Sus scrofa: one gene and its partners. The main gene of each other region encodes a partner of the protein of the gene in region 2 in a complex. Links are inferred from orthologs where the notes say so. Each region holds a gene or a part of one and is shown on either strand. Other genes may lie near its edges.

Region 1 (3,585 bases), on a different chromosome or scaffold from region 2:
TCTGTTTCCCAGCCATTGGTGTGGTTGCCTGAGAGCTGCTTGTCCTGGAATTGGGCCTGGTGGGGACAGTAGGGTTGCAATGAGAAGGGAATGTTGTCACTAGAGGTGGGTTCTTACTCCATGTTCCCTGAAGTCTAGCAGCCTGCGGAGGGGGTGGTCTCAGACAAGGATGTCCAGGTGAGATCTCTGTACACCTTCCCTCTCTCCTTCTGCCCTTCCTTGCCCTCCTGCCCCACCCCAGCAACTCCTTACTAAGCAGGACAGCTTGGACATCTACAACGAAAGAGATCTCTTTAAGACTGAGGAACCAGCCGCAGAAGAGGAAGAGGAGTCCGCCGGTGATGGAGAACGAACCTTGGATGGAGAGTTAGACTTGCTAGAGCAGGACCCTCTAGTACCACCTCCACCTTCACAGGCACCCCTCTCTGCTGAGCGAGTGACCTTTCCCAAGGGTCTACCCTGGGCCCCAAAGGTCAGGTAAGTTTGATATCACCAGGGACCCTGAGCTTTGGGGTGTCAGTAACTGAAGGCCCAGGGTGGAGTCAAGGCTCAATAACCTGGCTGGGGAGTTCCCGTTGTGGCTCAGTGGTTAATGAATCCGACTAGGAACCATGAGGTTGCAGGATCGATCCCTGGCCTCGCTCAGTGGGTTAAGGATCTGGCGTTGCCGTGAGCTGTGGTATAGATTGCAGACGTGGCTCGGTTCCCACATTGCTGTGGCTCTGGCGAAGGCCAGCGGCTACAGCTCTGATTAGACCCTAGCCTGGGAACTTCCATGTGCCACAGGAGCGGCCCTAGAAAAGGCAAAAAGGCAAAAAAAAAAAAAAAAGCTGGCTGGGAATCAGAACTCCTGGGTTTCAAGTTCCCTCTGTTGGTTGCTGCCTTCCCCTACTGTTCCAGTTCTCCAACTGGAAGGGTGGAAGCCCAGTAAGATTATCTCAAGGTTTGCTTTTCTTCCCTTCTCTGGGATTTGGCTCTCCACTGTCCTCTCAGACAGAAAGACATTGAGCACTTCTTGGAGATGAGCAGGAACAAGTTCATCGGATTCACTCTGGGGCAGTAAGTGACTGGATAGTCAGAACTGGCTTGCAGTGTGGTTCTTAGGGGACCAGAGGAGTGGGTGGCTTGGAATGAGAGATGTTGCCTGGCTGTGGTGATTACGACCCAGAGCCATGGGCCACTTCCAGTGACTGCTTTGAGTTTTTGCCATGGAATTTTTTCCTTCCAGTTTCCTAGAACTTTTATGTTCTGAGCTAGATGTAGAACCTTGAACAATAAGTCATTTCCCTCTTATGCCTCAGTTCCCTCATCAGAATGTTGTTAGATGGTCCCCATAAGCCCTTCTTGATGGGCCAGAGTTCTGTGAAGCAGTGATGGTCAGAACAGATTCAGTGTCTCCCCATTTCCCCAGCCTCACGAGTCCTTTCACTGGCTGCTACAAAACTGAGAAGCCGCCATTACTGCTGTTTCACTGTCCAAAGTGTTGTTGGGCAACATGCCCTTTTAAATAGGATCCTGCTCCTAGAGGTGGGTCCCCAAAAGACTACACAAAAATCCTAATTTTCAGGGACACATCTCTGTACCATTGTTCTTTTTTGTGTCCTCAAGCAGTGATGGGTGACCAGGAAGCTTGCAGAGAAAGCTCCAGAGTACCAGATGTTGAAAGTGATGTAGTCCATGTGACTCCAGGGGGTATCGGGAGTTCTCTGTACTTTTGACCCTTATGGTCTGGCATGTCTTACATTTCACAGGGACACAGATACCTTGGTTGGATTACCCAGGCCCATCCATGAGAGTGTGAAGACCCTCAAACAGGTGACCAGGGTGGGCTCTCAGTCTTCAGAGATAGGGAGCGACCAAGGCAAGTGGGATGACTCGGCTCCTGGGCCCTGGGTGGGGCTCCTCCACCAGACATGTTCTGAACCTATTCTTCTGTATTTCCTCTGTAGGCATTTTGGCTGAAGAGGTTAAAATCAAGTGTCTCCCTACTTATGCAGTGTCCTGCATTCAAATAGATGAAAAAGTTCTCCTTTCTTCCTCTTTCCTTTGCCCTCCTCCCACTCCTCATTTCCTCTCCTCTCACTTTGTTCCTTAGAGACTCACTAACTTCCACAGGCCCAAGACTGAGTAGCAGTTTACTCCAAAGTGTGTGAAAGCACAAGTAAGAGTAAACATTCCTTCCACAGACCTTGAGCCCTACCCCCTCCCATTATCACTCTGTGCACACATGCACTCATACACCTGCACACACATACACGCACATGCAGCAAAACTCTCAGGGCAGTGGTCCAGTGGTAAGGGCCTTCATGTCCGCTTGCACTTTGGTTGAAGTTAAAATGCTAAGGTATGGATTTCCCGTTGTGGTGCAGCAGAAACGAATCCGACTAGGAACCATGAGGTTGCCGGTTTGATCCCTGGCCTCGCTCAGTGGGTTAAGGATCTGGCGTTGCTGTGAGCTGTGGTGTAGGTCGCAGACGCGGCTCAGATCTGGCGTTGCTGTGGCTGTGGTGTAGGCCGGTGGCTACAGCTCCGATTAGATCCCTAGCCTGGGAACCTCTACATGCCATGGGTGCGGCCCTAAAAGGACAAAAGACAAAAGTCAAGAGACAAAAAAAAAAAAAAAATGCTAAGGTATTTGCTGCTCTTCAACCAATGTGGAAACGTGGAATAAACAAATACTGAATACAAAGCACTTTACTGGTGTTCATGCTGCAAAGGTGAGTAAGACTCCTGCCTTCAAAGAGTCCATGGTCTATGGGGGGTGACAGACCCATAAACAGGACATTTCCTATTTGAGGTGACAGACCCATAAGCAGGACATTTCCTTGTCATTGAGGAAGTTAAGCGAGAGGCTGGTACACATGTGATCGAGGCCCTTATTGATGTCTTCTCTTCCGCAGCACAAGTATATCTCCATCGCAGATGTTCAGATCAAGAATGAGGAGGAGCTGGAGAAGTGCCCCATGTCTTTGGTGAGTCAGGGGGCGCTGCACAGGAGGAAATCTGTCTGCGGTGCTGTCATGGACTAAGTGTATGCTGTTGGACTCTTAACTCAGGCTGGGCAAAGCAAAGTCTCTACTTTCACAATATGTTAAACTTGGGAAAAGGGGTAATAAATAATTAAGGAGACAGGAAGACTTTCAGAGAAGGATAGATATGGCAAAGAAAATTTAAGTAAGATGACATATAACGTAGTAGACTACTTTAGATTGGCGGTGGGGGTGTGTAGACTTCTGAGAGGGTGACGGCTAACCAAGATCCGAGTTATAGGAGGAGCTAGCCGTGAGAACATGAGAGGAAAGAACACTCCAGGCAGAAGGGACAGCCTCAGTAACAAGGTGACAGCAAGCTCAGAGTCTTAGATGGTGAATGAAGGCTGGTGTGGCTGAAGTGCAGGGAGAAGGAGGAGGGTTTGGGGCCTGGGATTCAGAGAGATGGCCTGGGGCCACTTTACACAGGATGTGTAAGAAAAGATAGAGAGCTCAAGGTCAAGTACAAAGGTGAGCCTTTGGAGATTTTAAACAGGGAGTGACATGATCTGATTTATTTTTAAAAATATGATTGGGAGTTCCCATCATGGTGCAG
Region 2 (4,258 bases):
GGAAGAGGGGGAGGGGGAATACAGGGACAGGATGTCCTTCCCTGACATGTCACTCACTAGCCTATATTTTTATATTTTTTTCCATGGCCATTAGGTTTGATATCCCAGAAGCCCATCCCACAAAAGAACTACAAATAACTTTTTGTAGGGACAAAATAAGTGCTTAATTTCATTTTCACTTGTTAAATTTTTTCAGGTCCCTTCCTTTCATTATCATTGTAGTGTGAATTAATAAGTGACATAATTTCAAGAACTTGGGAGAAGGATAACATTTAGAGAGAAACACTTGAAAGGACTTTGATGGGCCTTTGGTAGATTAATACTATTGCCAGATTGCAAGTGAAACGTGGAAGAAACTGGGAACCGGACAAGTGAAAAAGGAGAGGTGCCCGGATACCTAAGATAGCTCTAGGGAGTAGAAAGGGATTTTGTTCTTTTAAATAGTGTAACTTTAGGGCATTGCGAGAATTGATTGTATAGTTGCCAGTCTGCCTTTGAAGACAGGAACTGTGTCATTTATCTTTATATCCCCAATGAGATAACTTACAGTCAAATATTTGTTGAAATGTGTACCGACTGCTCAGGGATAAGGAAAAATGAGTTCGAAATAAAAGAGCCTTGGATATTTGTAACGTTTACAGGATTTACTGCAAGCTATAAAGGAGGTGAAGCAGAGCCCTGTTTTAGATGTGGTGTCACCAAACCAAAAATTGCAAGAAACAGAAAGCTGCTGTGTTGCGTTCAGGACAGAGAGATGATTAGTTCCTTCTAAATGAAAAGTGATCAGGCAACAGGTTTGACTGAACCTCTAGCGAGAAAAAAGGCAGGAACGACCGCGATAAGGAGATGGACAGAAGTGGAGTGTCTTGGGTCAGAGAATCACTCTAGACAGAGCAGAAGGGAGAGGTCCGAGCGTGCTGGCTAGAGAATCCCGGGCCATGGGGTCGGACCGGCGAAGCTTGCTTTGAGCTTGTTTCTTAACAGAACTACCAGGAAGCCGTAGGAGATGTGCAGCTTAGGCTGGCATTTCGGCGCGGTAACTTCCGTGTGTGTGTGTGTGTGTGTGTGTGTGTCTGCAACAGTGAGCGCCTTGTGTGTGTGTGTGTATGCGCGCCACAGTGAGCGCCGCCCAAGAACTTCCGCGTGCTAGGGAGGCTGGAGGACCGCCAGCCAGCCCCTGCTTAACCAAGAGGAAACCCGCGCTCCCCGCCGGGGGCCGCCCCTTCTCCGCCATGGGCTGGGGCGGGCCCGGGGGCGGGGCCGCGGTGGAGCCGCAGCCGGTCGCAACCCCTCAGGCAGCCCGGGCGGTGCTCGCCGGCACCACGCCCCGCGACTACATTTCCCAGCAAGCCCCGCGCCGCCCGCGCACCGCAGTTGACCCATTTCCCGGCCCGTCCCGAGCTCGGCCGGCCCCCGCGCCCAGGCGGCTGCTCCCTGCTGACTGGGGTGTGGGCGGGGAGCGGCGGAGGGAGGAGGAGACGCTGCTGGCCGCCGCCGTTGCCTCAGCTGCTGGGCGCCTGGGCAGCTCCCCGGGTTCCTGCGGCCGCCATGGACGAGCAGGCGGGTCCCGGCGTCTTCTTCAGCAACAACCACCCGGGCGCCAGCGGTGCCAAGGGTCTCGGGCCTCTGGCGGAGGCTGCCGCGGCCGGCGACGGGGCGGCTGCGGCGGGGGCGGCGCGAGCCCAGTACAGCCTCCCGGGAATCCTGCACTTCCTTCAGCACGAGTGGGCCCGCTTCGAAGTGGAGAGAGCCCAGTGGGAAGTAGAGCGGGCGGAGCTGCAGGTAAAGACCCTCCCGGCCTGGCCGTCTTCATCCCGCCTCTCCGCTCTCTTCCGCCCCGCCCCGGACCCTTCCCCCTCCCCCGCTCCGCTCGCTCGTCCCCTCCCCCTTTGCTCCAGCCCATCCCACCCAGAACCTCATCCCCTTCCTCCCTTCACCTTTGCCTTTAGGTGACCCCACTTCCTCGACCCGGGTTCCCACTCCCAGCTCCCCCCCCCATGCGTTGTTTACCCTCCCCGCACCTTTTCGTCTGCTCCTTCCCACTCTTAACTCTCAGGCTTGTTTGAACTCTCTCGCCATTCCACATTTTAGGTCTTCCCTTTCAGTTTACTAATTGGGCTGACAGTAGTTTTGAGAGATGAGCAAATCATCCCCTATCCTAGTGAGTGGCCCTCCTAGGTCTAGAGAAGATGCCTGGAAAAGGTATTGACAGTTGGCGCCTCTCTGTGAGGAAGGCGATCAGAGAAGACAACAGAAGTTGTATCCGTGAGGCCTTGACTTTAAGGCAAGAAGCTGCCGTTGGGTCAAAGTGTTACTAGGAATATCTGCTCCCTTTTTATATATGTAAATGTTTCTTCTTTTACTTCTTCCTCATCCCATCCCGCGTTTCTTTTAGATATTTCAGACTCGTGGATTTTGAATGAAGAATCTAGATAGATAATCACAGTCAGATAATGGTTCAGAGATGGTTTCTTGTTCTCAGAATCTAAAACTTCCCAAGGGTTAATTTTATGTTCAGGGTTTTGTGAGACTGACTTGTACTTTAAAAGGAACTAAAAGGAGCTTCAAAGTTGGTTACATTTCCTTGCATAATCTACAAGATAAAGTATATCCAGGGAGGAGCTATTGTGGGATCTTGGAAGAATGAAAGTGAGGCTGATACTTTGCAGGCCATTCTGAACTGGTAAGTAGGTTTCAGTGGCTGTTTTTAAAACTTCCAAGGCATACACTAATTTCACAAGGAATTTAAAGAACTACGAGTGGCTCTGCCTTTCTGTCTTTCTGGCTAATCCTGTATGCTTGTGAAATCTGAGTATAGTTTTGGTTGGTGAAACACTTGAAGTTAAAGTGCTACCCACTGTGTCACTTTTTTTGGTACCATGTATTTTCTTTGGCACTTAAGAGGAAAGAAGAAACAATCATGTTAAATAGAATCATGTGCTGTAACAGGCTGCTTTGGTGTAGTGCAAGTGGTTGTGGAAAGAGCAAGCAGAAGGGGTTACAGTATAAGCTGTGCTTGCTGCCTGCTCTTTGACCTTGAGGAAATCCTTTAACTTTTCTGAACTTCAGTTTCATCATTTATTTATTCAGCGTATTTATTGAATGCGTATTTATTGAGTAACTGTAGTTACTCCTCAGTTTTGCCCTCTCTACCTTACCCCCTCCCTGCCCCAATATATACACACACACTACTTACTGGGTTATTTATGGCAAATGTTAAACTTCAAGTAGGTTTCCCATTGGTGCTTATACTAAGGGCACTACATTTTTACAGTATCTTGGTTTGTGCTCCAGTTCAATTAAGCATCCATGGAGAAACTTAGAAAATGTGCCATAGTTTTTTGTTTTTTGGTTTTTTTTTTTTGGTCTTTTGTCTTTTGAGGGCCACACCTGCGGCATATGGAGGTTCCCAGGCTAGGGGTCTAATTAGAGCCGTAACTTTTGGCCCATGCCAGAGCCACAGCCACACCAGATCCAAGCCATGTCTATGACCTATACCACAGGTCATGGCAACACCGGATCCTTAACCCACTGAGCGAGGCCAGGGATCGAACTCACAACCTCGTGGTTCCTAGTCGGATTCGTTCCGATGCGCCATGACAGGAATTCCTGCATAGTTTTTAAACAGAGCAAATAGGCATTTTGGGAGGAGGGAGTTTCCAGGAATCTGTGGTTTTTGACCTCCTTATTAGTATAATTGAATATATATTTTAAAAATAATTTCTTTATATCAACATCATTAAATTCGACCATATCCCTTCTTTTTTCCATCAGAATCTTTCTAGTAGGAAATAAGAATTGAATGAATGGTAATGAAATTTGGAACAGTTGGTATCATCTTTTTAATTTTTAAATCTCTTCTTAAGTCAATACCAGAGTCAACAAAAATACTTTTAAGATTAGGTCTGATTTTTCTCTTCAGGAACCTGTCAGTCCTGCTCTTTCAAGTTGCCTGGGCAGAGTTGTGAAAGGCAACCCAAGCTCTCATCTCCCTGGCTTGCTTACACCATATCCTCCGTCCTTCAGATCTTGGGAGTAAGGAACTGGCCACATTATGCCAAAAACTTATTCGTCATTTCTTGCCCCCTTGTCCATCTTTGTTAACATAAAACTCTCTTTTTATTTTTGGCAATCTCTCTCCCACCTTCCCAGCACCATTCAAATGAGAGTAGGTAATTTATGGGAAAAAAATGGTCAAGATTATTCCTGAGCTTTATATTTGTGAAAGAAATTGAAGATAGAATATAAATCATAATAT
Region 3 (4,273 bases), on a different chromosome or scaffold from region 2:
TTTATTCCACAATATTAAAGATCTATAGTCATAACATCTGGATTATGTCTTGGTCCCACCAAGTTACTAGTTACATCACCTTCCTCTTAACCAATCTGAACCTCTTTATTCTCTGTGTAAACAGATACTCAATTATGTGACCTACTAGGAATACAATGATGATCATCCTGTTCTTAAAGATCTTATGTCTTCAAAGATAGATGTATGTGGTACACATCCCAAGCCCTGTATTAGATGATATCCAAAAGCTGACACAGGGCTCCTACAACTCAAAATAGGAACACATGTGGACATTGGTGAACTGCAAATTACTATAAAAATACAAAGGTACACATCATTTTGTGAACCCTAAATTATTCAATGCACTGAGATCCAAAATGACCACTGTATTCCAGCATGTGAACTGAAAGATGACAAATACAACAGAAACATTATTCCACCATTCACCATAGGTGAAAGAGCAAAACTACACACGGGACCTCAGAGATGAAGAGAAGTTAGTGGTAGAATTAACCAAGGACAAAAACTAACACATACTAGACAAACTGCCCTATATTACTGATTTCCAAATTTTCCTGACTTTTGGTTCAAAAGCTCATTCCACAAGCTCCCAGCTCTATGCCAAAAGTCAGAAGAACTCATTTCTCACTTCCTCCAACAAAAAACAAATGCCTACACTGCCATATAGAGAATAGATTAACATTCTTGTTTTACTATCACTGACTCATATTCAGTTTATGGTCTACTTAAACTACCGCACCCTTCTAACACAGCACTGAGCCAGTTATCCCCACATAATTTTCCATTTGTTTAGTTGGTCTTCCTTCCTTGTGTACTGCATTACTTACTCGTGGTGCTAATTATTCCTGATTTTACTTCATTCTATAGTATCACACCTCTCTTCTAATTTTAAGTCATATTAATTTCCAGACCATCTTCACTTCAATCCTAGGGGAATGTATTAGTACTTCTGATCCTAGAAAGTGTCTTTGGATTCAAAAGTTAAACACATTGTGTACAAGTTAAATAAATGCAGAGTATATTTAAAATACAACATATTTCAATCATCAGTTATACAACAGTAAACCATGATTGATTATCTGCCATCAGTAGATACCTGATTCTTAGACAGAAACTTATCATGAAGAAATCATGATGCCAATGAACATAATCCTGAAATTCTATTAAAGAACTGTATAATATTAATATTTAGGAACTATAACTGTAACTGGTCCTAACAGTTATAAAGGATAGACTGGAACAAGCACACTGCTTTCTGTTCAAAATAAAACACAAATGTCCTATTTTTCCATTCTCCAACGTAAAATAAGAATGAGTTAAAAGTTATAGATGATGCTAAGAAAATTAAAATACACAAGAGCCTGGTGTTATTATAAACACACACAAACACACACTAGTCAAGAAAATGAGGGGGAAATCAAAATCAACACAACAAAATGTGATGTTACCTCCAAAAAAGCAATGTATCTTCTTTCCTAGTAATAAGCTCACTAAAATCTTTCTCAGTGCTGTAAAAATGTAAAATAAGTTTCATGAAAGAATTCCAATCCCATTGCTCTCAGTTGACAGCGAAAACAGTAAAAACGGTCCTATGGTAGGAAGGGAAAGGGGTGTCTTTCACCTGTAAGGATGAGACATACTGTTATCTGACTTTCCCCATCCCATTTATCTATCCTTTAAAATGGTAGCAGAGTCACTTAATAAACCCCTAAAAAAAACCACAAAAAACAAGCAAACTAGGTAAATTGAAACTGATTCTCCTTATTTTTCCTAAAGGTCAGAGTGCATGCTTTTTTTTATTGAGAAATTTCTTCCCAGCTCAAAAAAACAAAAACAAAAACAAAAAAACACCTTCTTCACCTCACAGAGAGGTTCTTAGACATACCTAAAATGCATTACTTTGCAACTTCCTCCACCCTCTTCAAAAAACAAAACCTTCCTACACTTTCAGTCTGGTGCGGTGGCTCTGATTCAGAAGCTGGATTACAACTGGATTAGATTCAGAAGATCAGTCCCTACTTGTGCGTCCTTGGGCACGTCATTTATCCCCTCAGTTTCCTCATTAGCACTGTGAATGGCCTTTGAAAACAGTAAAGGTGTAATAGTGTTAATCTTTACTACATGGGGCAAAATTACCTCCTTAGAGGGACATCATGAAACTGGAACTGAATCAGTAGATCTCTGTCAACATCTGACTCTTCCTTCTACAGTTCTCCTCTTCCCTCGAAGGACACAACCCGAGTCACCTCAAAAGCAGACTCCAATCGCCCCTTCCTTTCTCTGCTCTTTTCTCTATCCTACTTCTAAAGCAGGGGGAAAACCCTTACCTCCTCACCCCAAGCCACATCTTCAGAGGACCCCACCCCAGGCACATCCGCCTTCTCCCTTCTCCGGGGGCACCAGAGGCCAACTTCGCCCTTCCCCTCCCGCCCCCACCTAGAGAAGACTTCCTGGAGGCGCTCGGGCCCGAGCAGGGCAGGCGGCATTTACAAACCCGCTTTACGCCACTCGCGTAGGGTAACCTCGCTTACGCCCATAGGGCCCGGTTCCCAGCCCCGTCCGCTCCGCCTGCCAGAACCAAGCCCAAGGGCCTCAGCCACGGCTCCCGTGTGACCCTAGACCTCTTCTGCTCCGCGCGGCGCTATGGGGACTGGGACAGAACAGCCTCACCTTACCGGCAACTGAGGGACTGACTTCACTTCCCACCTTTGGAGCCCTCTTCAACTCCCGGATCAATTCACTCCGGCGACGCCGGAAGGACCCGAGAGGAACCAGGCGTTGTCCGGAATCCTGCCCAGCCGGAGTCGCGCAGGGGTTTGTGGGGACTCGTAGTCCCACTCGCGGGCTTCGTCGGCAGTTCCTGCACATAAGAGACTACAACTCCCGTCAGGCCCTGCGGTAGAGCCTAAGGTGATGGGTGGAGACAGTTTCAACCAATAGTAATAGAGTTCCCTGCCTTTGCTGGAGGAGGTGAGAAGAAGAGAGAGGGTGAAATGAAAGAAGAGGAAGGGAGGGGTCAGGTCTCACCTGCGCCAATCAGGATGCAGGGTCGGCCCCGCAGTCAACTCACCCATTGTGGGGGCGGGCTAGCGGAGCCCAGGAAGGAATGGGGGCGGGGGAAGAGCTCCGAATGGGGAATATGGGGCGCCTGAGCTGTGGAACCTGAGAGGAAGCCGGGGGGGGGGGGGGAGAAATCGCCCTGGTGGAGCGAGGACGCGGTGTGAGGATGCGCCCTAGCTAGAGGAGCAGTTTCCCCCAAAGCGGCCAAGAACCAGGCACACCGGGCGGCCAGACCTGCTGGTCAGTCAGGGATAGGTCGAGCCCGGGCTCCTCGCGTAGGTGTCGGGACGGGGCGGGAAGCCCTGTGCCAGGTGTCAAGCCACTGAGTGAAGGGAGAAGGGTCCCCGGGGAAGGAAAGCGATAGGACAGCTGCAGAAGTGCTAGGAGCGCGAAGGTACCAGGGCAGCAGCTTCCCGCCGCCTCCAACCGGGCAGCAGGCGGAACAGCCGGGGGAGGAGCAACAGCTGCTGAATTCGCCAACTAGAGGAGGGAGAGGCGGAGCTTGGGTCCCTGTAGCAGCCGAAGGCGCAGCCTGGACTGTAGTTTCCCGGGAGAGAGGAGAGCAGGAACAGGAGCGGAGCGCAGTCCTCGGAGCCTTAGCTCCAGCATCCCGCCAGGGGTTGCAGGTGTGTGGGAGGTAAGCGTGGGTGCCACTTCTGGGCGTCTGCTCTGCCTGGGAGAAAGCGTCTCCCAATAGGAATAATATCAAGGCACAGCTAAGAGTCTCTCACTCGGGTTAGGAAACTGGTGCAAACCCTTTTAGGTGAAAGATGTACATGTTTGGACTTGGAGAGAGGATAAAAAGCAAAAGGTGGTTTGACTCTGGGTATAAAGGGCGTGGTTAGTGTTTTTGGTTTCAGTTGTACCGTTAAAACTGTTCTGGAAGATTTTAAGATTGAGGAAACCCTACTAATTTAGGACAGGGTGATATTTAGATAGGTGCGTAGCCGGTTAAAAAAAAATGTCATTGATATAAAATTACTTCAGAACTCTTTCACTAGGAAAATAACTTTGCATTCTTCTTCACTATCTACCCCTTACATTGTTTTATCAGATTGTCCTGCTACCGACCTGTTTTCCAGGGCGGTTATACTGCAGGTTCCTAGAATTGAAAGAGATCTCTGTTAAAGAAGCAAATATCGTCAGGAATAATCAAGACGACGGAACCTAGCAGAAGTATAACTTTTGCCAG

What was found.
Region 1: STRN (region 2) and STRIP2 share a complex: the UniProt entries of both Homo sapiens proteins name them as parts of the core of STRIPAK complex. The link is inferred for Sus scrofa from reciprocal best matches to the Homo sapiens genes STRN and STRIP2.
Region 3: STRN (region 2) and PDCD10 share a complex: the UniProt entries of both Homo sapiens proteins name them as parts of the core of STRIPAK complex. The link is inferred for Sus scrofa from reciprocal best matches to the Homo sapiens genes STRN and PDCD10.

Annotation. Positions count from the first base shown.
Region 1 is NC_010460.4:19,231,644-19,235,228, reverse strand, and holds part of STRIP2 (striatin-interacting protein 2), read left to right. Parts: intron 1-241; coding exon 242-477; intron 478-993; coding exon 994-1,059; intron 1,060-1,751; coding exon 1,752-1,815; intron 1,816-2,900; coding exon 2,901-2,972; intron 2,973-3,585. UniProt on the Homo sapiens protein: Plays a role in the regulation of cell morphology and cytoskeletal organization. Required in the control of cell shape. Calmodulin-binding scaffolding protein which is the center of the striatin-interacting phosphatase and kinase (STRIPAK) complexes.
Region 2 is NC_010445.4:103,248,422-103,252,679, forward strand, and holds the start of STRN (striatin), read left to right. Parts: upstream 1-1,404; 5' UTR 1,405-1,548; coding exon 1,549-1,782; intron 1,783-4,258. UniProt on the Homo sapiens protein: Calmodulin-binding scaffolding protein which is the center of the striatin-interacting phosphatase and kinase (STRIPAK) complexes.
Region 3 is NC_010455.5:106,556,115-106,560,387, forward strand, and holds the start of PDCD10 (programmed cell death protein 10), read right to left. Parts: upstream 2,837-4,273; 5' UTR 2,697-2,836; exon of another isoform or gene 2,692-2,696; intron 2,101-2,691; exon of another isoform or gene 1,907-2,100; intron 1,643-1,906; exon of another isoform or gene 1,470-1,642; intron 1-1,469. UniProt on the Homo sapiens protein: Promotes cell proliferation. Modulates apoptotic pathways. Increases mitogen-activated protein kinase activity and STK26 activity. Important for cell migration, and for normal structure and assembly of the Golgi complex.